7 linked regions of the Mus musculus genome follow. Each later gene encodes a partner of the first gene's protein in a complex. Links are inferred from orthologs where the notes say so. Each region holds a gene or a part of one and is shown on either strand. Other genes may lie near its edges.

Evidence for each region.
Region 2: the proteins of Nup107 (region 1) and Nup205 are in contact, whole or in part, in a cryo-EM structure (PDB 7WB4), measured with the Xenopus laevis proteins. The link is inferred for Mus musculus from reciprocal best matches to the Homo sapiens genes NUP107 and NUP205. Residues at the interface, in NP_001091312.1 of Xenopus laevis: Gln134, Glu136, Pro189, Tyr282, Tyr283, Gln770, Ser772, Phe773, Thr774; in XP_041443600.1 of Xenopus laevis: Gly1247, Gln1248, Arg1249, Pro1250, Ser1458, Arg1506, Gln1507, Leu1983, His1991, Gln1995.
Region 3: Nup107 (region 1) and Nup153 share a complex: the UniProt entries of both Homo sapiens proteins name them as parts of the nuclear pore complex. The link is inferred for Mus musculus from reciprocal best matches to the Homo sapiens genes NUP107 and NUP153.
Region 4: Nup107 (region 1) and Cetn2 share a complex: the UniProt entries of both Homo sapiens proteins name them as parts of the nuclear pore complex. The link is inferred for Mus musculus from reciprocal best matches to the Homo sapiens genes NUP107 and CETN2.
Region 5: Nup107 (region 1) and Nup85 share a complex: the UniProt entries of both Homo sapiens proteins name them as parts of the nuclear pore complex. The link is inferred for Mus musculus from reciprocal best matches to the Homo sapiens genes NUP107 and NUP85.
Region 6: Nup107 (region 1) and Cetn3 share a complex: the UniProt entries of both Homo sapiens proteins name them as parts of the nuclear pore complex. The link is inferred for Mus musculus from reciprocal best matches to the Homo sapiens genes NUP107 and CETN3.
Region 7: the proteins of Nup107 (region 1) and Nup133 are in contact, whole or in part, in a crystal structure (PDB 3CQG), measured with the Homo sapiens proteins. The link is inferred for Mus musculus from reciprocal best matches to the Homo sapiens genes NUP107 and NUP133. Residues at the interface, in NP_065134.1 of Homo sapiens: Leu875, Gln876, Ala878, Asp879, Val881, Ser882, Ser883, Glu884, Tyr889, Lys894, Leu897, Arg898, Leu900, Leu901, Gln902, Arg905, Ser908, Leu909, Leu912, Asp917, Pro918, Leu919, Tyr921; in NP_060700.2 of Homo sapiens: Trp937, Leu938, Ile941, Asn942, Gln944, Leu946, Tyr963, Ala965, Lys966, Lys968, Thr969, Leu970, Gly972, Leu973, Lys975, Leu976, Ala977, Leu979, Ala980, Ser981, Asp982, Ile992, Glu999.

Annotation. Positions count from the first base shown.
Region 1 is NC_000076.6:117,779,206-117,782,705, reverse strand, and holds part of Nup107 (nuclear pore complex protein Nup107), read left to right. Parts: intron 1-645; coding exon 646-749; intron 750-1,257; coding exon 1,258-1,385; intron 1,386-1,979; coding exon 1,980-2,028; intron 2,029-3,500. UniProt on the Homo sapiens protein: Plays a role in the nuclear pore complex (NPC) assembly and/or maintenance. Required for the assembly of peripheral proteins into the NPC. May anchor NUP62 to the NPC. Involved in nephrogenesis.
Region 2 is NC_000072.6:35,187,616-35,191,115, forward strand, and holds part of Nup205 (nuclear pore complex protein Nup205), read left to right. Parts: intron 1-1,008; coding exon 1,009-1,153; intron 1,154-1,480; coding exon 1,481-1,640; intron 1,641-2,239; coding exon 2,240-2,468; intron 2,469-3,500. UniProt on the Homo sapiens protein: Plays a role in the nuclear pore complex (NPC) assembly and/or maintenance. May anchor NUP62 and other nucleoporins, but not NUP153 and TPR, to the NPC.
Region 3 is NC_000079.6:46,725,050-46,729,173, reverse strand, and holds the start of Nup153 (nuclear pore complex protein Nup153), read left to right. Parts: upstream 1-1,324; 5' UTR 1,325-1,700; coding exon 1,701-1,814; intron 1,815-3,659; exon of another isoform or gene 3,660-4,124. UniProt on the Homo sapiens protein: Component of the nuclear pore complex (NPC), a complex required for the trafficking across the nuclear envelope. Functions as a scaffolding element in the nuclear phase of the NPC essential for normal nucleocytoplasmic transport of proteins and mRNAs.
Region 4 is NC_000086.7:72,915,545-72,919,470, forward strand, and holds the start of Cetn2 (centrin-2), read right to left. Parts: upstream 2,801-3,926; 5' UTR 2,773-2,800; coding exon 2,770-2,772; intron 1,303-2,769; coding exon 1,144-1,302; intron 850-1,143; coding exon 721-849; intron 1-720. UniProt on the Homo sapiens protein: Plays a fundamental role in microtubule organizing center structure and function. Required for centriole duplication and correct spindle formation. Has a role in regulating cytokinesis and genome stability via cooperation with CALM1 and CCP110.
Region 5 is NC_000077.6:115,581,444-115,584,424, forward strand, and holds the end of Nup85 (nuclear pore complex protein Nup85), read left to right. Parts: intron 1-298; coding exon 299-416; intron 417-495; coding exon 496-596; intron 597-1,433; coding exon 1,434-1,585; intron 1,586-1,641; coding exon of another isoform or gene 1,642-1,769; intron 1,770-1,882; coding exon 1,883-1,984; intron 1,985-2,277; coding exon 2,278-2,379; 3' UTR 2,380-2,481; downstream 2,482-2,981. UniProt on the Homo sapiens protein: Essential component of the nuclear pore complex (NPC) that seems to be required for NPC assembly and maintenance. As part of the NPC Nup107-160 subcomplex plays a role in RNA export and in tethering NUP96/Nup98 and NUP153 to the nucleus.
Region 6 is NC_000079.6:81,786,247-81,789,746, forward strand, and holds part of Cetn3 (centrin-3), read left to right. Parts: intron 1-596; coding exon 597-711; intron 712-3,500. UniProt on the Homo sapiens protein: Plays a fundamental role in microtubule-organizing center structure and function. As a component of the TREX-2 complex, involved in the export of mRNAs to the cytoplasm through the nuclear pores.
Region 7 is NC_000074.6:123,939,266-123,942,765, forward strand, and holds part of Nup133 (nuclear pore complex protein Nup133), read right to left. Parts: intron 1,878-3,500; coding exon 1,770-1,877; intron 1-1,769. UniProt on the Homo sapiens protein: Involved in poly(A)+ RNA transport. Involved in nephrogenesis.

The sequences.
Region 1 (3,500 bases):
CACATGCATTCAGTCCCAGCACTCAGCAGGCAGAAGCAGAGGCAGACCTCTGAGTTTGAGGTCTCAGAGTGACTGGTAGATAGAGAAAGTTCGAGGCCAGCCAAAGCCATCTTGTAAGCCTCCCAAAAAGTGTGTGTGTGTGTGTGTGTGTGTGTGTGTGTGTGTGTGTGTGTGTGTGTGTGAAAGAGAGAGAGATTGAGAGATTGAGAGATTCACATTTGAACATACTGAGGCCCCTAGCACAGTAGCACACTTCTGTAATCCCACATTTTAGAGGTGGAGGCAGGAGTAAAGGTTTTTAAAAAATGTACTGTGTGTGGTACTTTGCCTGGATGTGTAGACGTGCACCATGTGAGTGCCTGGTGCTCTTGGTGTGCAGAAGGAGCCATCAGCTTTCCTAGAACTGGAGTGATGGTGGGTGGTTGTGAGCTTTTGTGTGGTGTGGGTACTGGGAACCAAACCTGGCTCCTCTACAAGAGCATTGTGCTCTTGACCACTGAGCCAACTGTCTCTCCAAGTCACTAGTTCTTACAAATACAGTTATGGAAGGAGGGAAAGATGTGTAGTCACCTTGGTGGCTTTGGTGCAATAGAATGTGTTAGTGTATGGAACTGACGTGGTGCTCCCTTGCTCCCTGTGTTTTAGCATCCATGAGCATGTTCTCTGATTTCCTGCACTCTTTCTTGAAGCACTCTTCAACCACAGTCTTTGATCTCGTAGAAGAATATGAAAATATTTGTGGTAGTCAGGTAAGTGAATTCTGTCCTATGTTTGGTCAGCTTAAGTGCTTGGAGTTTTCTTGTCTCTTTGGAGAAAAAAAGAAATCTGCTCCTTAGAAAAGAAAGTCTGAGGCTAGAGAGACAGCTTAGTGAGAAAACGTCTGAGTCTGCGAGCATGGGGGCCTGAGTTCAGATTCCCCGCACACCAGGGCCATGGCTGTGGGGGCAGCAGGGCAGATCCAGGAGGCCATCCCTGACAGGAGTGACAGACGCACCCTTACTGCGAGATGCCGATAGTGAGGGAGGGCGTCCGTGCGGATGTGGGAGCAGGAATGGTGGGTTCTCTAGCTTTCATTCAGTTTTGCAGTGAACCTAAAAGTGCTATTTATAAAGCAAGGAACAGAACTTCAGAAAATGGTCATGTGTGAGAATAAGCGGAATATTGGCTTGGGAAGCAGCCAAGCAAATAAAGTGTTAGCCACACAGGCAACTGAGAGTGGTAGGCAAGCAGCCTCTTATGTCTGTGTTCTTCCCGTAGGTGAATATCCTCAGTAAAATAGTGAGCCGCGCAACGCCTGGACTGCAGAAGTTTTCCAAGACGGCCAGTATGCTCTGGCTTCTCCAACAGGAGATGGTCACATGGAGGCTGCTCGCCTCTTTGTACAGGTAACTTTCTGTAGAGCTCACAACTCCTAAGTGAGACGAACAGAAGCTAATAAGCCAGTTCGGCAGATGAATTCAGTGTTAATGAGGGGTAGCCTCAGCATAGGTTTGCTGATCTTGGGATTTATCATTCCTAATACTTGAGGTGTGGAGAGTATGTTATGAGGAAGAGGGGCCATCAGGTCATAAAACTGGGAGCTACAAACTTACCAGTCCATAGCCAGACAAAGCACAACACCCGTGTGATCCCAGGAGGCCTAGGCGAGCCTGGGCTCCAGAAAGTAAGGGAAGAAAGAGACCTGGTGGTTTGGGGTTTTATTATGCAATACTGAAAGATTTGCTTAATTATGCTATATGAAAAGGTACGTTCCTTTGGGGGTGCCTTCAGGCTACAGTAGTGGTTGCCCTTTGTGCTCGGGTCTTGGTACTGGAGTGATGATGTAGTTACTGCTTACTTCCTTCATTAAAGGTGATGATGGAGCCCACTGCATCTCATTGGTTTCTACGCCGTCACACCACAGAGTGTGGGACAGCTTACCAGGTGGCTTCATGCATTTGTGTAAAGTAAAGCTTTTTCATTTGTGTTCTTTTCCCCAGAGACAGAATACAGTCTTCATTAGAAGAGGAAAATATGTTTGCAATTGCTGTAAGTTTTCTATGAATTTTTTCCGTCACAGGTTTTTTCCATTACGCTTTACAGATTTGATTTTTCAACCCTCCATTTGCATTTCCCCATTAAAAAAGATTTACAAGTACAGAGATGATGTTCAAAGTAATCAAATGTTTATAGTTATGGGTAAAAGTTCTTTTTATCCCTCAAATTATTTAACGTAATAACTTGGATTAACATCCTATCAGATGTTTTCTGTGTATTTTTATACATACACACATAATCAAATTACTCTTGAGTCATTTGTTCTGTTTTTCTTTTCCCTTTTTTGAGACAGGGTGTGGTTTTTGTAGTCCAGATGGCCTCAAAGTCACCACCCTTCTGTCTCCCCATCTTGAGTGCTGAGATTATAGATATACGCCATCACACCACACATCTTATATTGGTTTTATTTATTTATTTACTATTGGGCATTTTCTGAGAGTCTCCTGAAGTATAAACTGGCCTCTGAAGTATAAACTGGCCTAGACCTGTCTGTCGGGTCAGAACTGCCGGGATTATGAGGGAGCAGACGGCACCCAGTCAGGCCTCATGAATGCCAGGCATCTCTGCCAGCTGCGCCACATCCCAGCACATGGCTTTTTGTTTTGCTTTTTAAAGATTCATTAGTAATAAATCTGTATGTCAGCAATAGTAATTTTATATGGGGTTATCTTTTTTCCTGTCCCCCTAACCTCTTATTGTTATGTGTATGTGAAGATATAATTGCATCTTAACTGTTATAGACTATTTTACTTCTCTATTTTGGAGGCAACTGTCTCATTTTAATATGTAAATTCTTGGTTACTGTTAAGAAAGGAAGTTTGTTTGCTGACAGTTGGAAGGAGACTGGAAACGGTCAGTGGTCTTTTGGGGTTTTGTTTCTTTTAGCTTCTGTTAACAACTTTCTGTAGTTTATCGTCATCGTGGATTGTAATGATAGCTTTCCTAATACTACATTATTTCTGTAAAGATGGGCCATGTGGTATTCCTATATGTACTTCTTGATTTTATTAGGCACACTATTTAAGACTTTAAGGTCTGTGGTATATTTCTATAGCATCCTCATATAATCTTCATCTATAGGATTATGCAAGTTCTTCAGAACAAGTTCAAGAAAAAAGGGTTGGTTTTTTTTGGTATATGTTTTTTGTTGAAGAATGTGCACATTAATTTGTTCACTGAAGGATGAGCAAAACTGTCTGTGACAGCAATGCCTTCAAGGAGTCAGGCTGCTGCTGGCTCTCTCCTACCCCAGAGACACCCCAGCCCCTCCCTGGTTTTGGTTTTAGTTTCTGAAATAAGGTCTAGTGTAGGCACAGCTCCAAATTTTATCACTTTATGAAAGTGTTTTACCAGCATATATGTCTGTGTACCACGTGTGTGCCTGAGAATTCCCTGGAACTAGAGTTCCGGTGGACAGTTAGGAGCCCCCGTGTGGGTGGATGATGGAAATCAACCTCATGTCC
Region 2 (3,500 bases), on another chromosome or scaffold:
TATTACTGGGGGACTGAAGCAAGCATGTACAATCCTAGATGACCTAGGAGTCAATTTGTGGCTGCTACATAGAGATCAGTATTTCCATAAAAGAAGCAATTCACTAATGATCACAAAGGAGCCATGTGAAGAAGATACATACATCTTAGTTGAATGGTTGTTGAGTTTCTTTAAATATACCATGTAACTACTAAAATCCTTTTTGACCAAAGAAAATTAGTTATTGAAGATAAGGAAGGTAGTTTTCTCTTATGTGAGGGGATGCTAACTGGACATACCTGAGATTTAAATTTAATTAAGATTTTCTTTTTTATTCTGGCAGAGCTGGAGATAGAACTAGGGCCTTGTGCTTGCTAGGCAAGCACTGTATCACTGAGCTGTTCTCAGCCCAGAACTTTGATTTAACAACATGTCCTCTGTATTTACCATGCTCTAGATACTATGGGAAGGCTGCTATAAAGGAACACAGCCTGGTGATTTAAGAAAGACATGGGAGTGGTTTTGACAGGAGGCAGTGCAGAGTAGATCCTGAAAGGAGGAAACTTGCAGACATTTGCAAGGGTTCACATGAGTGGTGAGAGAGTGGGCCCAACATAGGAAATTAGAGAAGAAGTGAAATTGAGTTGGGAAAGTGATGAATTTCTTGTTCTTTTGTTTGTTTGTTTGTTTGTTTGTTTGAGACAGGGTTTCTCTGTGTAGCCCTGCCCTGTCCTGCCCTGGAATTCACTCTGTAGACCAAGCTGGCTTTGAACTCAGTTCCACCTGCCACTGCCTCCTGAGTGCTGGGATTAAAGGTGTGTGCCACCACCTCTTTAACTGTGCTGCTTCTTGTTATTGGTACCCTGGCATATGGTTGATGGGCCTTTGAATCTGCTATGCCAGGAATGATGCAGGGAGTAGAAACCCTAAGGGTCCCCTTAACATTAAGACCTGCTTATTTGAATACATTTTGGCATACGTTTCAAACACATTTGAGCTTTATTACTAAATAATCAATTCCTTTTCTAGGAGAGCATCAGCAGCCACATTTCCCTGGCCTCACCAGGGGATTGGTAGCTGTCCTTTTATACTGGGATGGAAAGCGGTGCATTGCAAATTCTCTCAGAACCCTGATACAGTCTAGACGAGGAAAGACATGGACATTAGAACTCAGGTCTGTTTGCCTTTGGGGACTTACAGGGTTAATGTGAAATTACTTGAATTTGAGTTTTGGAAATAACAGTTTTTCCTTAGTGTGTACCCTTTCAGTAAACTGTAAGCTCAGGTCAATAATATACTGGACTACTCTTTCCAGAGTAATACCTTAGTTTAAACCTGACTTATTTGCAAGTGAAAAATCACAGAGATTTATTTAACTCCAGTGATTTAGAAAGGGTAAAAAGAACAAGACTATAATTCATCCTGGTTGTTTGTAATAATAGACTGTTGTCAAAACAGTATCTTTATTCGTTATAGCTTTGTTTGTTTCTTTTCCTTGCAGTCCAGAGCTGGTTTCCATGACAACACGCTTTACAGATGAGCTGATGGAGCAAGGATTGACTTACAAAGTCCTTACTTTGCTGTCACAGATTGATGTGAATAATGAGTTTGAGAAACTACAGAGAGAGAGAGGTTTGGGCAGTGAGAAACACCGCAAAGAGGCAAGGGTTCTATAAGATGACCTCATGGGTGTCTTTGACAGATGTGGAACAGAAGAGCTTACAGAATATTCATTTCACTTAGGCAGATGAAAATACTGTTTTATCATCATTGCTACTGGTTTCCTTTTCTTTTTTCTTTTTTCTTTTTGGTTGGTTTTTTATTTTTATTTATTTATTTATTTTTGAGGCAGGGTCTTACTATGTAGTAGTCGATTGATCCAGAACTTGCTATGTAGACTAGGCTAGCCTCCAACTCAGAGATCCACTGCTTCTGGGATTAAGAGTATGAGCAATCACCCCTGTGGCAATACTGCATTTCAAATGTGTAGACTGCTCTGCTCATGGATTGTGCCTGCATTTGTTCCAGTTGCTGTGCCTCTGTTTATGCCTTGTCTAGTTTTTTCTGAAATGAGTTTTTCAAGCAATTGGTCAGCGTGGTTTCTCAAGGACTAAACCTCTAGAATTTATTCAGAATCCCAGCAACTTTACGAGCATGTGTGGATTCATATCAGTTAATTTTGTTAGCCTTTATGGAAGACACTGTTTTGTAATGCCAGACCTTGCTATAACTTATGTCACAATCATATTGTTACTTGTAGGTTTCTGATCTCATCAAGGAGTGCAGGCAGTCTCTGGCTGAAAGTCTTTTTGCCTGGGCTTGCCAGTCACCATTACCCAAAGATGACACCCTCCTACTTATTGGACATTTGGAAAGAGTGACAGTTGAGGCCAATGGCTCCCTAGATGCAGTGAATCTGTGCCTCCTTATGGCTCTTCTGTACTGTTTTGATACCAGCTTTATAGACCAAAGCACAGAGGAACGAGATGGTATTGAATTTTACATTTTATCTTTTTTAAAAAAAATATTTATTTTTATTTTATGCACATTTGTGTTTTGCCTGTGTGTATGTCTGTGTGAGGGTGTCAGACCCCCTGGAACTGATTTTATAGATAGATGAGAGCTGCCATGTAAATGCTGGGAATTGAACCCTGGTCTTCTGGAAGAGCAGCTAGTGCTCTTAACTGCTGAACCATCTCTCCAACCCCTACATGTTTGTTTGTTTGTTTGTTTATGTATATATGTATGTATACTTAAACACACATATATGTGTGTGTGTATATATATATACACATATACATATACATATATATCATATATACACATATATATGTATATATATATATGATTATTTTAATGAATGAGTACACTGTCACTGACACACCAGAAGAAGGTATTGGATCCCATTACAGATGGTTGTGAGTTAGTTACCATGTAGTTTCTGGGAATTGAAGTCATCACCTCTGGAAGAGCAGCCAATGCTCTTAACAACTGAGCCATCTCTCTAGCTCCAGCATTTATATTTTTTAATGCTTTTTTTATTCTTAAGAGTCTCATGTATGGTCTAGGTTAGCCTCAAACTAATTTTTTAGTTACATTTATGTGTCTGTGTGCGCATGTGCCAGAAGACAACTTTCAGGATCAGTTGTTTCCTTCAACTATGTGACTTGAGGAGGTAAGCTTAGGTTGCCAGGGCTGGCAGCAAGCGCTGCTACCCACTGAGCCATTTTGCTGGTCTGGCCTCAAACTCTTGATCTTTCTGTTCTAGTCTTCTGGGTGCTGGGATTACAGGCATATGCTAACATACCCAGCATGTGCTAACACAACCACCAATACATTTATTTTCAAAAATAAAATTTTAAGTTGTGAGGGAACATTCAAGAAGGACAATATTTTAATTTCCAAAATACAACTTTTCTTCTTTGTTTCTGTCTGTGCAATCCAGGCAAGTTTGAAACATTTTAAATGTGCAATGCAATTTAAGACTGAGGCCAAACTCTGTAATGGAGGAATTGCTTACC
Region 3 (4,124 bases), on another chromosome or scaffold:
CAAAAAACAAAAAAACCCTGGGTTATAGTCCTGGCTTTGAGTGCCCAATTAGATATCCACCCTCTTTTATTTTTTTCCAAGTCAGTTCTCTATGCAGCCCTAGCTGTCTTGGAAAACGCTTTGTAGACCAGGCTGGCCTTGAAGTCACAGAGATCCATCTACATCTGACTCCTGAGTGCTGGGATCAAAGATGTCTGTCACCAGCCAGGCTCTAAATCGATACCCTTAATGGTGCCCCTTAAATTTTCTTGGTTTCCATATAGTCCATTGAATGACTAGGCTGGACCACATGATCACACAGACCTTTTGTCTAATGCCTGCATCTTTAACACGGTGTATCCGGTCTTTGAGGATACATTGTTTAGTCACCTAACTATAATATTAACTGAAGCAAATATATGTTTACTAGGGATATATGAGTCACCCTTAATGTGTGTTGATTGCATAGGTCATAATTGCAACCATTTACTGCGTTTCTTGTATACCAGGAAATCTACTGGGTGCTCTCTACACAGACGACCGCACTAGCTCCCCACAACTTTATAAGGTAGATTTAAATAGTAGAGTCATCCAAGGTCAAGTTTGTAAGTAGTGAAGCAACTCAGAATGCCAGCACGGTGTGTGTTGACAACAAAGCCCTTATATGTTTAATGAAACAGTAATGAAGTTGTATTTTTTGCTTTCGTTGAGACAGAATCTCACTATGAAGCTGAGGGTAATGTGTAACTAGCCATTCCCCTGTGTCTGCCTCCCAAGTGCCAAATGCCTTTCCTACTTTGTTTTTGGCCTGGGGATCGCGGCCACGGTTAATTTCAACGCGGTCTCCCCCCCCCCCCCCCCGGATTGTGATGCATTATGGTTCTTTGATTTTACTGTTTACTTCCATTCGGCTTATAATTGATGAATGGGAGATTACAGTATTCGTGTCGAGTGCCCTTCTGAATCTAAACAAGCAGCCAACCGCCGCCAAATGACCCGGGCTTTGTGCCTCTGCGGTGCTCCGTGGGTGTCCTTCCGCTATAGCCTGCCTTTCCGAGAATCCGCGTTCTGGCCAGAAAAACTACATTTCCCAGAGGCTCCCACGACAGGGAGCGCGGGCTCGGCCAACCCTTCCTTCCTTCACCCATCCCCCCCCGCATTGTCGCAGCGTGATGACGCAAAGCGTCGGTCGCGGAGGAGTGACGGTGTTCTGGCTCGCGACCGGGGCGGCCGCCTCAACAGCGGTAATAGGCGCAAGAGCGGCGGCGGCGGCGACGACTGCAGGGACGACGACGGCGGCGGCGGCGGTGGGGCGGGCGCAGCGCGCACAGGGGGAGGGGTTGGCGGGCGGCGCCAGCGGCCTGGACTGCGGCAGCGACGGCCAGGGCGACTGAAGAGGAGCCTCTAGCAGCGGGCGGTCGAGCTAGGCCTCAGCGGCGCCCGGAGCTGCTCGCGCCGGCCTCGGCGGGAGATCTCCATAGAGACGGTGACAAACACAGACGCGGGGGTCCGCACGCGGCCGGCGCTCCTCAGCCACCTCGGGGCCCTCAGCCGCCGCCACCGCCTTCCTCGCCGCCGCGCGCACTCTCAGTTCCCGCTCGCTCCCTCGCGGTTCTCGCTGTGTCTGTGTGTCGCCTAGGGCCGGGCGGGGGAGGCCCTCAGGCCGCCGCCTCTGCCTCTCCCGCCCGGGAGCGGTAGTGGGAGGCCGCCCAGGCTCCGCCATGGCCTCGGAAGCCGGAGGCATAGGAGGGGGCGGCGGCGGCGGCAAGATCCGGACTCGTCGTTGCCACCAGGGGCCGGTGAAGCCTTACCAACAGGGGCGACCCCAACACCAGGTACGGGACCGGTACGCCGTGGCGACTGGGCGGCTCCGGGCGGTCTCTTTGGGGGGCGGTGCGAGGACCCGGCGGCCCCACGTGGAGGGGACCAGAGGGCCTGAGGCTGGACCCGGGTGGCGACGGGAAGTGGGTAGAGCCTGGCCGGGCCTGGCGGCAGACACGTGGGATGCGAGCGGCCTCTCCCAGCCCTCCCGCCCAAGGGCTTTCCCTGGCGGGCACAGGGCGGGAAAAGAAATCTCAGGCTTCGGATATTCGGGCTGCTGCTGCTGCTGCTGCTTCTTCTTTTTTTTTTTTTTTTTTGGCGGGTTTTTGGGGGTTAAATGGTATTCCTCACGACCTCACGAAGGGAACAAGGGAAAGATGTGGCAACAGGCCCATCCGCTGGCAGGCTTTTTCTTTCTTGTGTTCCCGGGTTCAGGGTGCGCGGGGAGATTAATCTGCCACCGCGGCCCGGAGAGACTTGGGGAGGGGGCGCTGTTACCCATATCGTGGAATAATTTCGGTTTTAGACGCGTTAAATCATTAATGGTAGTCCGGTCCCCTCGTCTGTCTGCTTGGCCTTTCCAGATCGGAACACACTGGTTTAGCTTCTCATCCTTTCCTCTCTTAACTGAGTTATAGTTATGTGGCACTGAGGCGTTTTGAAAGTCCCTCGCCGCTCTTACGTCTGGTCTCTGATGCGTGGTTCTTCCCTCTCTTCTCTCCACCCCGCTCTATATACTGAAGACCAGAATCATCCACTCTCTACAGTTGACCAGTTCTTCAGCTCTGATCTCATACACCAAATATTTTTAATACTGGGCGTTTTCTAGAAGTTTAAGGTATTTCGGGCTCACCAGGGGTGTTACTTAAGCCACCGTATGCCTTCTTTGGGTGTTTATAAAAATGTCGATTCTTGTTGTAAACGAGATAGTTGGTTCAGAGAACACTTTCAGTTATTAAAAATTGTGAGAATTAAAACGTTAAAAACTCACTTTAACGAAGCCACTTTTTAAAAGTAGGAAGTGTATATTTTAAGCTTACTGAAGAAGGGCTAATATATAACTTGTTGCATACTCTTAAATGTAGACTTTTTGTTTATTCTGGCTAGTGCTAAAATTGAATACTTGTTGGTAATGTTAAATTATATCACTTTTGAGATTTTTAAAATAAAGATAGGGAAAGTTTTGAATAGAAACAGCTGTGTTTTATGTACTAAGAAGTTATTTGTCATTGCTTGGAAGCCTTGCAATATTACCATTTTCCCTGAATGCTGAGGAGCCCGGGGTCTTCAGAAGCAGACTTTAAGATTAAAATCAGGTCACAAGCCTGGCCGTTTTACTTTGCCTAATACTGTACAATGGACATTAAGGCAAACATACTCTTATACTAAGAGTAATGAACCACCTCTGATTGCTTGAAAACAGTTTGAGCAAAGAAATGGATGGCTTGGATAGAGTTTAAAAAGAAGCCAATATTATGTATGATATTATGATAGAATTTAGAAAGAAGCCAAAGTTATGATCACAGCTTATTTTAAAATGTATTTAGGTTAAAAAAAAAAACCAAACTAATTTGAGAGAGAAGTGCATTCAACTAAAACCAAACATGTTTTAGAGCTGGTACAGATTTCAAGCTGTATGGTTTTAGAGCTCAGTAGTTCTAAGACATGTTAGCTTCTTGCCTCAGTCATTTAATTTAAAATGTAAGTACATCTTAATTTGAACTGGAATTAAAGATAACTCTTTTTTGGTTAGCAGATTTAATTTTGGCAGAATTGACCAAAGAAAAAAGTGTTTAGGCTTATATAAAAGTATGCAGCTCAGCTTTTGTTTCTGTCTTAAAGTAAGTAACTAGTCTTACCTCGGACTTAGTGGATGTCATTGTCCTCTACTAGCCGAGCTTGTCAACTGGTTGTTTTGCAGCAACTGCTGAGTCATCATCTTGGATATATCAAGGAGTTTCATGACATGGCATGTTTCATACTAATGCTTGATAAGTGTCCATGGCCTCTTGGCAGACTGAAGAGTTGTGTTAGACTCAGAGTAAGCAGGCTGGTGCTTATTGGTGAATGCAGGACAGCAAATGTCAGGCCAAGGAGCTAGCTACTGCAGTCACCCAGTACCTGTGACTCCTGTATCATGTTCAGTTGATTTCTGATTTCCTGTTTTGACTTCTGGTTTAGGTCTTCTGGGAAATGTTTAAACTTTAGCATTTTTCTACTTTTAACTTTCTTCCTTTTTCTTTTTCTTTTTTTTTTTAAAGCCACCTTGCTTGAAGTTGTGGAGCTAGAAAGATATTGTCTTGATCAACCAGATAAAGGTCAAA
Region 4 (3,926 bases), on another chromosome or scaffold:
CAAACAAGTATGGTACATTGTAAAAAAAAAAAAAAAAAAGAAAACATACTTAGTAAAGTGAATATAAACTCAGGGGTTACATAGGAAATATAATTGTATATAAAGTACTGTACAAAACAAGCAGACACTAGATTCATTTTTAAAATATAGAAGCAGTGAGTAGGGTTGTAGTCAGGGAAAATACATTGCTAAAACAGATAGACTGATAAAGGCAGAGGAGGAGAGAGGTATTTTTCACAATGGCCTTCAAAGAATTACCAGGGCCCTGAGTCCTTGTAATGCAGAAGAGCAGAATTTCTGAAAGCGTTCAAACCTCAGCTATTTCAGGAAGGTTCTTGCCAGGAGGTTCAGGTGGAAGAATAATCTAGGAACCAATCTTAAGTGTGAACCATTTGTCTGAAAATGTCAGATTGACACCTGATTTATTGTATGATAATTTAATTTTTAATAATAATAAATTAAAACCAAAAATGACTAGCATTGAAAATCTCGGTGTTAAAAGTTTTTACTGCTTGTGATTATCATGTGGCCACATGAAACAAGATAATGCTAATACCTTAAAGAAAGCCAAATGAAACGTAGAGATCCTCTCAATTAAAAATACTATCTTCTCCCATGTGGAAGGGATAGATTTTGTTGGATAAAGCTCTTTGTATGTCTAGATTCTCATGTTTCTACCATTATGGGTAGAAAGCATGCTAATTATCTTAACTAACTTACCATTTTCTGAGTCATCACTGTCAAAAAGTCACTGAAGTTCATTTTTCCTGTTCCTTCTTTATCAATTTCACTTATCATTTTCTTAATTTCTTCTTTCTTGGGCTCAAAGCCCAGGGCCCTCATTGCCACCTACAATGAAAACAGAATCATCTAAATAGATACATAACGTAAAAACAAAAATGACTATTGAAGATATTAACCAAACACCTGATAAAATGATGGAAATGATCAGGGAACACTTAAGGCTGATTTAATTGATATTTGCAATCAACTTTATCAATTAGACCATTGTTTCAGGTAAAATATACACAGGGTACCCTTGTCTGTTACTTTTTGCAGGCAGAAAGGAGAAGAACGGTAACAGCTAAAAGACAAGCAATAAGGAAACACAAGGTAACAAAGAAAAGGATGTGTGCAGCTTACCTTCAGTTCTTTGATGTCTATAGTTCCAGTTCCATCAGCATCAAAGAGATCAAAAGCTTCCCGGATTTCCTGTTTCTGGTCTTCAGTAAGTTCAGGCTTAGGACTCATCCTTTTTCTCTGGGCACTGGATGCCATGGTTGTCTTCTTAAAATTAGAGGCCTTCACACAATATATAAACACAGAAGCACATTATTACAAGCCATAGTCCTTGTTTTATTTATGACAGCTCTAAACATACATATCTTTTTCAATGAGGTGTGCCATCGTTTGTAATGTACTTATGTCATTACGTAAACTTCCATGGGCCAGTGAGAATTCTTGCTGCCAAGCTTGATAACCTAAGTGGGAACCAGGACCCAGGCTTCAGTTGTCGTTGTCAAAGATGAAAAGGGAAACGATGCTTACATGGTAAAAGGAGAGAACTAACTCTTCCAAATTATTCTCTGACCGCCACACTCAGGCTAAAATGTGCTTCTCCACCAAGGAATAATAAGTGTAAAAACTAAAATAAAATTAACCCCAACTCTAAATGACAAATAGCACAAACCTCTGTGAAGAAAAAACTTTCTCTCAACTTAAAACTATTTCAATTTATATATGTCAGTTTTTACTAAGTTATAAAAAAAGAAATTGGCAATAATGAGGTTATTTTCTAATATAACTGTAAATTTGTCTTAATGTGATGTCTCATATGACTAAATTCAACTATATTTCATTGGGGAGCCACCAAATAGAAGAGAGTTTTTGTTTTAAAATAGTATATTACCATTTTCCTCCTTGTTCTTGTATAGATCAACATAGAGCAAGTGAATATATGAATATGAATTTCTAGTGTTAACATAGCCTTCATGAGAAGACATAACTCTGACCTCCACTGTCTTAAAGTTTATACTACAGAAAGTTCATGCAATTGTACCATTAATCCATGTGTCACTTTAGGAGATTCAATTTCAGTCATTTTTAAATCTAAAAAAGCATCATCAAAAGCTCTTTGAGAAACCAATTACAGTTATGGATGATCAACTGTATATGATTTCCGTACTCTCGGTTTTAGAAATGTACTTAAAACATCTACTTGTGGTGCCAGTTCCCAAGAACTCTGCTCCTCCAATTACTTATGCCTAAATTTGGCTAAATGTAAACTTACTAAGATAAAAATTATGCCGGTACAAAGTGATAAAAATCAAACCATTTGCACCTGCGTGCTTTCTCACAGCCTCTCCTGAAAGCGTTTGCGACCATCAGAACACAGTAAACCTCTTAGCACCAATGCATAAACTTTAACTGGGTGGCCGCGGCCAGGAGGCCTGAGTTTGACTGAGGCGGAAGTCTAAGGGAAGCAATAGAATGGTCACCCTGCTGTTTCCTGAAAGCCAGCGGAGGTCCAGAGGCAGTTTGTGCGGGGGTGGCTGAAGGTGACTTGGGCGAGGAGGGGGTAGTGGGAAAGAGCAGGCAAGGCAAGCTGCTGGCGGCTGTACTTTCTCTTCTACCCTTCCGGCACACAGCTCCAAGGAAGAACTAGTGCGTCAACGCCAAGAACCGTGCAAGAAAGGTAGCAAGGCTGCACCGAGGCCTAGGAAAGGACCGGGGACGCCGCGTGGGGTCCACCGAATCCCTAGCACTTACCATCACCCAACGGACTCTGCCACCGGTTGTTAAGGCAACGGCGTACTCGCAGCCTCAGCGGCGTTCCCACTGCTCCACGCGCGCACAGCCCGCTTCCCATTGGTTTGGGAACGAAGAGGTGGGGCTAACCTGGCAAAACTCGCCCAAGAGCAAGAGGGCGGTGCGTCGGCAGCCAAAGACTAGCCTCATTGGGCAAAATCATGCTGTGAGCGTCAATTGGTTGCGCCAGAGCCAAGCTAGACCAATCAACATTATGAAGGAAGCTCTGCTGATTGTGGGCTCATATCTATCAGTAGAAAAGGGTGGCGGGTGTTCAGCCAGACTTCTCTGGTTGCCGGTTGTCTGCAAGCTGAGGTCGATCATTTGAGTGTCTAAACCGGGTAAGAGTTGCGGGCTTGCCCTTAGAGGCTGCTGCGTGTGGGTGACAGAGCCTGGAGGAAGTAGGAGGGAATGGGTGGGACCCATTTTAAAACCGAGTTGGGGGACACAGAACATCTGAGGGGCCAGCAAGATATGACCAAATGGTTTGGAGGGGTGACTGTGCCAGGAGAAGCTGAGACCTCGAAACTGGAGTGGGCATGCTGAGTATTGTGTCAGTGGTTCACAGGGCTGGGGCTTAGAAACCCAATCCACATGAGGCTTTGTCTTTACATTAGCTCTACAAGAGTCACTTTAGCTCTCAGGGGAATGGGCTGGGGACTTTTAGATCTTCAAAACTCATCAAAATGTGTCCTGTTAGACGTACAGACACTCAAGTCACATGGGAAGGAGCATTCCTGAATGAGACTCCCTTGAAAGCAAAGCCACAGGAGTTTTGGAAGTATGGAATGTAAAGAGAATTAAAGGGCAAAGTGCACAACGGGTTGGGGCTACCTGGAGCTGTGCCAGGAGTAATGAAGGCCCAGGGTCGAACACAGATTCTATGTTCTACGTCCCTCAAAGCAAAGAAAATCAGTTTAGGGACTTTAAGGGCACAGTATCAGTCTCTCAAACTGAGAAAGGCCTGAGACTTAACAGCTCCCCATAAATGTAATATAGGCCCTTTGCCCTCTTTCCTTTAAGCCAGGAACCGGCTTCAAAACTTTTGTGTCTTGTTTGGCTCCTTTGTTCACTGCAGCAACAATCCCCCATATCCAGCCTCTGAGTTCTCACAGTTC
Region 5 (2,981 bases), on another chromosome or scaffold:
GAGATTTGTGTGGTCTCAGGACAGATAACGGTGGGACTATTAATGTGGAGGAAAACCAAGATCTTTTTTGCCACCCAAGGACAAACACTCAGAAAGCCAGTCTAGTGAGTGGGTCATCTGTGGTATGAGCAAAGGAAAGACAAAGAATAAACGGAAGTTTCTGGTTTTCTCACTTAGCTGTAGATTGAGTACTTTAGGTTGTAGTGAGGCTGTCGGAAGGCCGAGCCTGTCCCCACAGGGCTTTTCACAGGAGGATTATAAGGTGTGAGCCTTTGCCCTTTGTCCTTTCTCCTGCAAGTTAAAAGCATCTGTAAGATCTTGGCCATGAAGGCTGTTCGTAATAACCGCTTGGGCTCAGCACTCTCCTGGAGCATCCGTGCCAAAGATGCTGCCTTTGCCACACTCGTATCTGACAGGTAGGTGAGGCTTTGTGGTTGGCTGGAGCTTGAGGTGGGCCTAGGATTGCTGCTCTCATCTTTGGGTTGGGCCCTGCAGATTCCTCCGGGATTACTGTGAGAGAGGCTGCTTTTCTGACTTGGATCTCATTGACAATCTGGGGTCAGCCATGATGCTCAGTGATCGACTGACGTTTCTGGGTGAGTCTTGTCATTCTTTCCCCTGGGTATTCCAGAGTGGACACTTGGGGAGATGGACAGCCAGCCTTTGCATGTGTTAGCCTTTGCATAGTTTAGTAACATTTTGTTTCCCAATAATTCCAAAATTAGGGAAATAAATAGCATGAGAAACACATTTTATATACACTTTTCATACTCATTTTTTGAAGACAGGGTGGCACTGTGTACCTCTCTGGCTGCCCAGGCTAGCCTCTCACACAGAGAAGTTTTTTAGCTTTCCCTCCCCAAGGCTGGGATTATGAGCCTGGAAGAGTTTGGTATGGTATCCATGTCCAATTCCCATCATGCTTCCACCAGAGATTTTTTTGTTGCTTGTGTGAGCTGGCAGTTCACTGCAGGAAGAGATTAGTGTCTCAGACCCTCTACCTCATGTACATCACCAGGATTCGTGGAGTATTTTAATCTTCTTAAACTTTTGTTTTGTGTATGGGTGCTCACCACATATTGGCCTGGTGTTTGCAGAAGCTAGAGGAGGGTCCCATGGGACTGGAGTTGGTCAGTTGTGAGCTGGCATGTGGGTGTTGGGCATTGATTCATGTCTTCTGTACAAGAAGAGTGAGTACGATTAGCAGAACCATCTTTCCAGCGCTCTAACTGATCTCTCACTGCACTACTGACACTTCCCCAAGGCTGGTGCTCATAAAAATCCTTGAATCCTACCTTTCATTGATTTGTGAACTTGAAACTGTTCTAGAAACAGTTCCAGGTATATGGAGTCCTAGTTTAAAGCCAGGATAGCTTTTCTAAGTATCAGGTAAGTAGAGAGGAATTTTGAGGTGAACTCACACCCCTCAACAGGAAAGTACCGGGAGTTCCACAGACTGTACGGGGAGAAGCGCTTTGGTGACGCTGCTTCTCTTCTGCTGTCCCTCATGACCTCTCAGATTGCACCTCGTTCTTTCTGGATGACTCTGCTCACAGATGCCCTTCCTCTTTTGGAACAGAAACAGGTAATACTTGATCACATCTGACCTATCTGTTCTGTGCCTTTGGTGGTCTTCCTCAGCTGGCTTCTGCAGCCATACAGAAGCTCATTTACGCCTAAGCAGTACCGTGTACACGTGTCCAAGGCTCGAGCACCAATCCACTATTCATTTCAGAACAGCTGGAAGATGCCTCACTAGAGGGATGGATGTAAGACTTAGGAGCATACCAGCAGCCCAGGGCTCTGTATGCAAATATTTCTCCCTGAAGACTTTGGAGCTGTGCCTGTGGAGCAGCTGAGTGACGCAGCCTCTTTCCCCTAGGTGATTTTTTCAGCAGAGCAGACATATGAGCTGATGCGGTGCCTGGAAGACTTGGCCTCAGGGAGGCCAGAGTGTGGTGAACCTGATGCCCAGCGACTGCAGGTCATTTTAACTCCTGGGAAGATGATTGTGTTGAAGTGGGGAAAGATTTCTGTCTCAGGATTTCCTCCCATTATCCTGCCATCTTGAAACATTAGCCTTTTTATGAATTCATGTGCCTTTTAGCTATTAACCTGTTCTGTAACACCAACTTTTAGGAGCAAGTCTTCCCACTGCAGAGCCAAACTTAGTATGCTATACTGGTCATATTCTGAACTGTAATCGTAGGTTCAGATGGCTCCATGCTCTCCTGGAATGCTGCCTGTTGCTCCTCACACTGTTTTTCTGCTCTTTAGGATGACGACATAGAGACCACCAAGGTGGAGATGCTGAGACTGGCTCTTGCCCGGAATCTTGCTCGGGCAATTATAAGGGAAGGCTCACTGGAGGGTTCCTGAGAGAAGATGAGGACAGTTGCAATATAGTAACTTTGTATGGCAATGTAAATAGATTTTAAAGAATAAATTGTTTTGCAAATATAAGACCAATTGTTAATCCTACCAAGGAGGTTTTAAAATTGTCTATTCTGAACCTGACATTGCAAAATGAACAATAGTTGCCTTTAAGATGGATGTTTCCACTCCTGGCTTAAGAGCTCATTGATAGAGAATAGCCCTGCTCCGTCTCATTAGAGAAGCCAGGGACCCACGGGACTGGTGCAAGGGGATTAATCCTGCCCAGATGAGGTTGAGGCCTTACCCAACTCAGCCAGTGACCTTGGAACACCCTCTAATTTCTTTGGTTAGCTTCTTTAAACACAAGTTTCAGAAACTAGTTGGAATTCATAGCATGGTGTCCCACCGCTGTGCTCTGTATTGAAAGATGCCAAGCAGGGTGAAATGGTTTTATTTCACATGCAGCAAAACAAGGGCAGGAGGTGGTACAACCAGTACAGCTGTACTGACTGAAGCAGTGACCTCAGTAGTAGTGAGCAACACTCATAATTTAAATCTTTAATGACCGTATTGACAGTGATCCCATAGATGTTCCAGCACCGAAG
Region 6 (3,500 bases), on another chromosome or scaffold:
TTTCCTGGTACTAGTAGCAGTTTTCTGTTTAAACTCAGTCATCTGAAACTAATTGTACCATAGTAGCTAATTATGTATGCTCTGGTGGGAAAGCCGATTGCTTGCTTGTTTGTTGAGAAAGGATCTTAATGTGTATCCTATACTAGTCTCAAACTTATGACAATCCTGTCTCAGTCTCCTGAGTGATAAGATTATAAAATTCCACTGTGTCAACCATGGAGGCCTGAAATTTTTCTGCTTTTTTTCCCTGCTTTTATGCTTTTGTCTAGCCTTTTAATAGTTGTGATATGTCTTTATTCCCTTGGTAACAAATAGTTATCTTTGTATTTAGTGCATCGTTTTATATATTTTTTGTAAATTCTTTTTAATTAGTTGGTCATATAAAACAGCAAAATGCCAATGAAAATAATTTCTATTTATTTTCAAAGTGAAAAACCAGGATGTTTCATAGTCTTAAGTTAGAGGTAAAAATACAGAATAATTGTGCTTTAGTAATCTGCTGTTGTCTTTTAAGATGGAAAACTTCCTTAGAAATCACTGATGACTTCTTTTGTAAGTAGTGCTTTACAATTTGTTTTTCCTTTTTAATCCAAAAGGTGGCAATGAGAGCCTTGGGCTTTGATGTGAAAAAGGCTGATGTGTTGAAGATTCTTAAAGATTATGACAGAGAAGCCACTGGCAAGATCACATTTGAAGATTTTAATGAAGTTGGTATGTACTTAGTCGCCTTTATACCCAGTACTTGTTGGAAAATTACGAGATTTTTGTATGTTTTCAAAAGAAAAAACATATTTCTAGCTATACTGTGAGAATTAGTGTTGGCTTTTGATGATTTCTTGAACGAGGAATTGTTGTCTAGATTTTATGGTTTATTAAAATTAATCACTAAAGGGTAACCAAAAATTATTTCTTGCCAGTAAAATAGAAGATTTAGTATCCTGATGTTTAAGATTATTAGTGAAGACTGCTGTGCGCTGTGACTTTTGTTAGTACAGTGGAGAGAAGAAGGAAGTAGGACATGGTGTCTTGGTGGGAGATGGGGACATGAAGTCCATCTTGTTAAGTTGACAGCTTGTTAGGCTCTGTACTCACTAACCTTAATCTCAGGGACAGTGCTGTGCTGTAAAGTTGAGACAACAGCAACGACACTGTTGTGAGGGATGTCTTTGGCAGGGTAGAAATAGGAGCACTTAGGAAATGCCACCTGAAGATGGTGGCAGCTTACTGTAGTTGGATCTTGGATAGTGATCTTAATGAGTTACTCAGGATGAGTTACTCAGGGTGTATACAGTTAAAGATTTTTCAATAGAAGATTCTGGAAGGCTAGGAATTGGCTACTGTAACTTAATTATATTGCTTACAGTGTTATATAGACATTATATGAATTATTTTGTTAAGTTACTGACCAATGATACCATTTTAGGGGTCATAATCTAAGCATGTAGTTATTTTCATATATTAAAAAATTAAAACTAATACAATTATATGTATATACAAAACCTTTATTTAAATATTAAAGACATAATACAGGAAAGAAAAGAAATGGAATGAGAAGGCAGATCCCCCCCCTTAGGAAACTCATAAGAGCACCACAGTGAAGTTAGCACAGGCTACCTTGGAACCAGATTCCAGGCTTCAGATCTGGGTTCTGACTCTGTAACTTGGTTAGTTTACTTGTCTGTGACTCGTTTTCATCGATGAAATGGGGACCAGTGTAATGTGGTTTCTGGGAGGTATGTGGGTGATGAGCATGTGAAATGTTAAGCACTGTACTGGATAGTAAGAGCTACTAAATGCTGGTGTTGGGATTAAGAGTAGTCCCAGCACTCAGCACAAAGAAGTAACCCAGGCTCTGGAAGTTTGAAGTCCACCTGGTCTGCATGAGGAACCCCAGGCCAGACAGGGCCAATGAGACCCTGTCTCCAAGCAAAACACTCCAAGAGTTTGTGCCAGGCAGAGAAAATAGTGCTTCCTTTGATGCAGAATGCATTTGTATTGTTGGGACATTAAAACATTCTATTCTATAATCTCATTGTTTTATTTTCTGTCTTTAACTTTTGAAGGCTATTTTAAGCATTATTATTCAGAGTTTTGTAAAACATTTTTTCATAAGTACTATTCTAAGTATTGCAGATTTTTATATTTTACTACTTCAGAACAGAGTTTCATATCACCTAAACCTTAGCTTTATGGACCATTTGTTGTTGCCTAAGGACACTGTCCCACAGATATCTGCAGATGTGCCTGGCTTATTGGGCTCTCCCCATGATGAGAAAACAGCCTTAAAGTGCATTCAGTGCAGGCTACCTAGCGTCCATCCGTCACTCGGCTGAGGCCAAGGAGGAGCAGGTGCTTCCGGAATCTCTGCTCTTAAAGGAAGGTCAATAGAAGTGAGAGATTTTCACCTCATCTGTTCTTGGCTTGTATTTCTTACATTTTAAAATCCTATCTAAAATAAAATGTTACAGTGTTTTCATTTTGAGTATTTATCCAGCACTGAAATTTTTGCATTTGGCGGGATGAATGGTAGTTAAGATTACCAAGAAATTGTGGTGAGGGCCTTAGGATGTAAGTGTAGTAACAGGACATTTTGATTCTGTGTGAGAGAGATTGCTGTCTTGGGTCAGAGTTGTTACCTGTAGCCCCGGGACTGAACCGAACTGTGCTCTCTGTGCGTCCCACATTTGTGGACGCTGCTTCTCTGCTACCAAATAGCATAGCAGTTTAGACTGTGAGCTTAGGACCCTGAAAACCTAAAATGTTTCCTATCAGGCCTTTTATAGGAAATCTTTGTCAAGCCTTCACCCAGGAAAATTTAAGTTTTTGCAAAGGGAATTTTTTTTTTTAACTTAAATCTTTAGGGATAGAAGATGTCCAAGAAGATTGTAGGAGTAGAGTAGATGCAGTCTAGCATAGAAGTGACAAAGCGGCATGGTACTACATGCTCAGCACGATGAGAAGCTTGATCTCATGCAGTCCCCTCTGTTAGAGGAGGGTCAGAGCACTGGGACGGCAGCCTTGAGTCAGACTGATGGATGGTCTTACGTAGTGAAGGAAGATGGGACTTCAGTCAGCGGAGTTTAAGGAATGGGAGTTTGTATTTTACAACAGTAATTGATGAGAAGGTCAAAGATGAGCTGAAGCGATTTTGGAGGCAGAAAGTTCTAGACTTTATGATCAAGATTGTTAGGGTGAAAAGAAAGAGACTCTATTTGAGAGTAAAGTAAGATAGTGTCTTCAGAACTCTAGTGTCCAATACTTGGATAATTAAGGGACATTTATGGGGTTGAGGGTAATGCCACTGTTTCAGAGTCAGTAATGCAGCTACCTTTCCTTCAGTGGAGGTCTAAGAGGCTGTGAAGCCCATAGAAGGACTTGAAAGTCCAATATTTTTGAGTTTGAAGTAAGTATTAAATGTTTGGATAGGAACTAACTTCTCTCTCTCTCTTTCTTTCTTTCTGTACTTTTTTTTTTTAAAAATGTAAGAGTGCTTTGTTGTG
Region 7 (3,500 bases), on another chromosome or scaffold:
ATTTTATTATTTTATATATTTAATTATTTATTTTAGAGAAGGTCTCACTGTGTAGCCCTGTCTAGCCCTGAAGAGATCTGCTTGCCTCTGCATCTCAAGTACTGGGATTACTGTTGTGTACAACCATGCCCATCAAAATTCTTTAAAGAATAAGCAACAGTAAACTGTTCACACACGTGAACCTCCCCATGTGCAGATGGTGTTAGCACCCATCATAAGGACACCCAGCAGTTCTGTCACCCACTCCTGATGAGACCTGACAGCTGCCCTTCCCCGTTTTATTGAGGAACCAGTTTCCATCCCTTAACTTCTGGCACTTTGAGAAGGCAGAGAGCAAAACCAACAGGGCCGAGCTGCAGCTGTGCTTCTCCTCCTCAGCTCCCCAAGGTTCACCTGAGTTACCGCGTGCACATGTGACTGAGCTGTCTGTCAAAGGACAGCTCCAGAGATGCAAATAAAACTGCTGTAACACAAGTGACCTTTGTGTTAACTTTCCACTTCTCAATCAAAATTATAAGATTTGCAGGTGGGTGGACAGAACTGGAAAATATTCTATTGAGAGGTCCAGGCTCGGAGGGACAAGCACTTTGTTTGCTCTCACATGCAATCTTAGCTTTTCTTACATATTTTTCTTTCTGTGGCGACGAGTGTGCATAGAGGCCAGGAAACTAAAGAGGGAGGAGAAAAAGCAGTGTGGAGGGTGATGAGGCTGGTAATAAACACATGGGATCTGAGGGACAGGGAGCAGGGAGATGCAGGAGACTCAGCCAAAGCTAGGTTACAGATCCCAGCACTGGGGAGCAGAGGCAGGTGATCTCTGTGAGTTCAAGGCCCGCCTGGTCTACAGAGTGAGTTCCAGGACAGCCAGGGCTACACAGAGAAACCCTGCGTTCAAGAGGGTTGGGGGAGTCATGGGGAGGAAACGACCCTGGGAACCTAGCATAAGAGCATGCAGTGGAGTTGGCAGGCAGCGTCAGGCTCTTCAGCCACTCTACAGCTGGGCAGCAGTGCCCCACTGGTGCTGTGTGCACTGTTCTAACGGCTGACAGTGCCACACAGCTCCTCATGTGCTGACGGTAAAGTTGTGTCTCCTGAAGACTCTGCCCTGCTTTTTTTTCCTTTCTTCTTTTTCTTTGGTTTATGTATTTTATGTATATGAGTGTTTTGCCTGCGTGTATGTACATGCATATGTACATGCCTGGTGCCTGTGGAAGTCAGAAGGGATCCAGTTCCCTGGAACTGGAGTTCTAGATGGTTGTGAACCACCATGTGGCTGCTGTAATTAAATTGGGTTCCTCGGCAGAAGCAACAAGCTCTTAACCTCTGGGCCATCTCTGTTTTTAAGTTGGATTTATGAGTATTTCCTCAGGCTGCATCTTGCTGTTTCATATTCTTATTTTACAAAAAGTATTGTTTGTCTGAGACGAGGACTTGCCTTGTCTAGCTCTAGCTGGCTTGGAATTTGACGAAGACCAGGCTCTGCCCATCTCTGCCTCCCCAGTGGTGGGATTAAGTGTGTACCTCCACATCAGGCTCTCCGTTAGCTTTGTAAGAAATGTGTGTCTGCATGTATGCCTGCTTGTCTGTACGTTCACCACCTGCTTGCAGGTGCCTGCAGAGGTCAGAAAAGAGTGTTGGGTCGCCTGGAACTGGAGTTTCTTGCAATCATAAGTCACCCAAAGTGGGTGCTGGGCACTGAGCCCATCTTCTCTGTATGAGCCCCACAGGCTCCCACCCGCTGAGCCTCCAGTCATTTCCAAGTCACCTACCTGCACAGAATGGACTTCACCTGAGGTCGCAGCATAAGACAGGGCCACCAAATCAGCGCTCCCGTGGAAATCGCTAGGGGGCAGCTGGAGTTCTTTGCAGACAGACAACTGTAAGACAAACCCAGATAGAAAAACCTTTACATTCAACCCAATTTGTTCATTCTGGCGCCTCTAATTTTTCTGCATACTTTGAGTCCATCCTGAAACACTATTCCACAATATCCTTCTTTTCTCAGCTCTTTTTGATCAACAACAAAGTCAGGGACACATGGACGCTAAAATGGACCTCTATATGAACCAGTCTGTGCTTGTCATGCCAGGCCAAGGGCTCTACTTGTTACAAGTGGCTCCCAACCTTCCTAATGATGTGACCCTTTAATACACTTCCTCATGTTGCAGTGACCCCTCAACCAGACAATTATTTCATTGCTACTTCCTAACTGCAATTTTGCTGTTATAAATCATAATGTAAATATGATATGGGATGTCCATGGGGTCATGACCCACAGGTTGAGAACCACTGGGCTAGGGGAAGTGGCCAAGTTTCCTGCAAAACTTTGCTAGCTGAGGTAATATCTATTTGACATGTAAAATTATTATGGTCAGAGAGAAATTACACCAAGTCTCCATCAAACTATTTCTTAGGCTTGTAGCTGTACACTCAGTTCCCTCTGCTAACTCAGTACACATGCAGAATCCCCCCTCCTACTTCTAAGTACACATCCTTTCTGTGTAGCCAAGGAGGGCGGCAAGTCTTCAGACACCAAGATTCAGGCAGGAAGGAGCCCATGCTCCCATGGGACGATGACCCACATTAGTGACAACAGCTAGGAGATGGTCTTGAGAGGAGGCTAAGAGGATGTTAGAAGTGTCACCAATGCTTCCACTGTTGGGAGCTGTCCACCAAGGTCGGCCTAGCAACTCATGTCATTTTACCACTATGAATCCAACTCACAAACAAGCATGCTCAGGTCTCAGCTGTGTGGGCCGTACCAGTGCTAGATTTCTATAGGCACTGCTCAGCACTGTGGTCCCTGGACATTCTCAAAGCCTCTAATCTAACTTTATTAAGTGCAAATAATACAGATTTTGTTTAAAAACTATTAAATGGCCAAAGCACTTCAGGTGGGAAAGGATAAGACAGAAGGGCTCTCTGTGTAGGGGAGGAGCCTGTTGGATTGGGTCTGGTTTCCTTTATCAAGGTAAGGAACTCAAGTTTGGCTGAGGATAAGGGCAATGAGAGCTGCTGGTCTATATTTACTCTACATTGAAGGCCAACATTTAATTCCTCCCTGGCATCTTAAGCCACTCATATTTAAAGTTGATGTTAGCCAAAGGCACGGCTCCTCTTCTCCCCACCTGATAATCCTTTTGGAGTTTAAAGTAGGAAGAGAAAATAGGAGCTTAGAGTAAGAGAACACCATGCTGATGATCCGGGATTAGCTCCTTCCTCACTTCTTCTCTCCCCTCCTCCTTCTTCTCTTCCTCTTCCTCTCTCTCTACACACTTTCCCTTTCCCCTTTTACTCTTTCTTTCCCTGGTTGTCTTGAAATTCAAGACTATGTAGACTAAACTGACTTTGAATCCACAAAAACTCACCCGACCTGTCTCTGCCTCAGGAGTCTGGAACCAAAGGCATGCACTACCACACTGGGCTGCTTTGTTTAATTTTTAAAAAATTATTAATTTTATATGCACAAGTAATTTGCCTACATGCATGTATGTGCACTA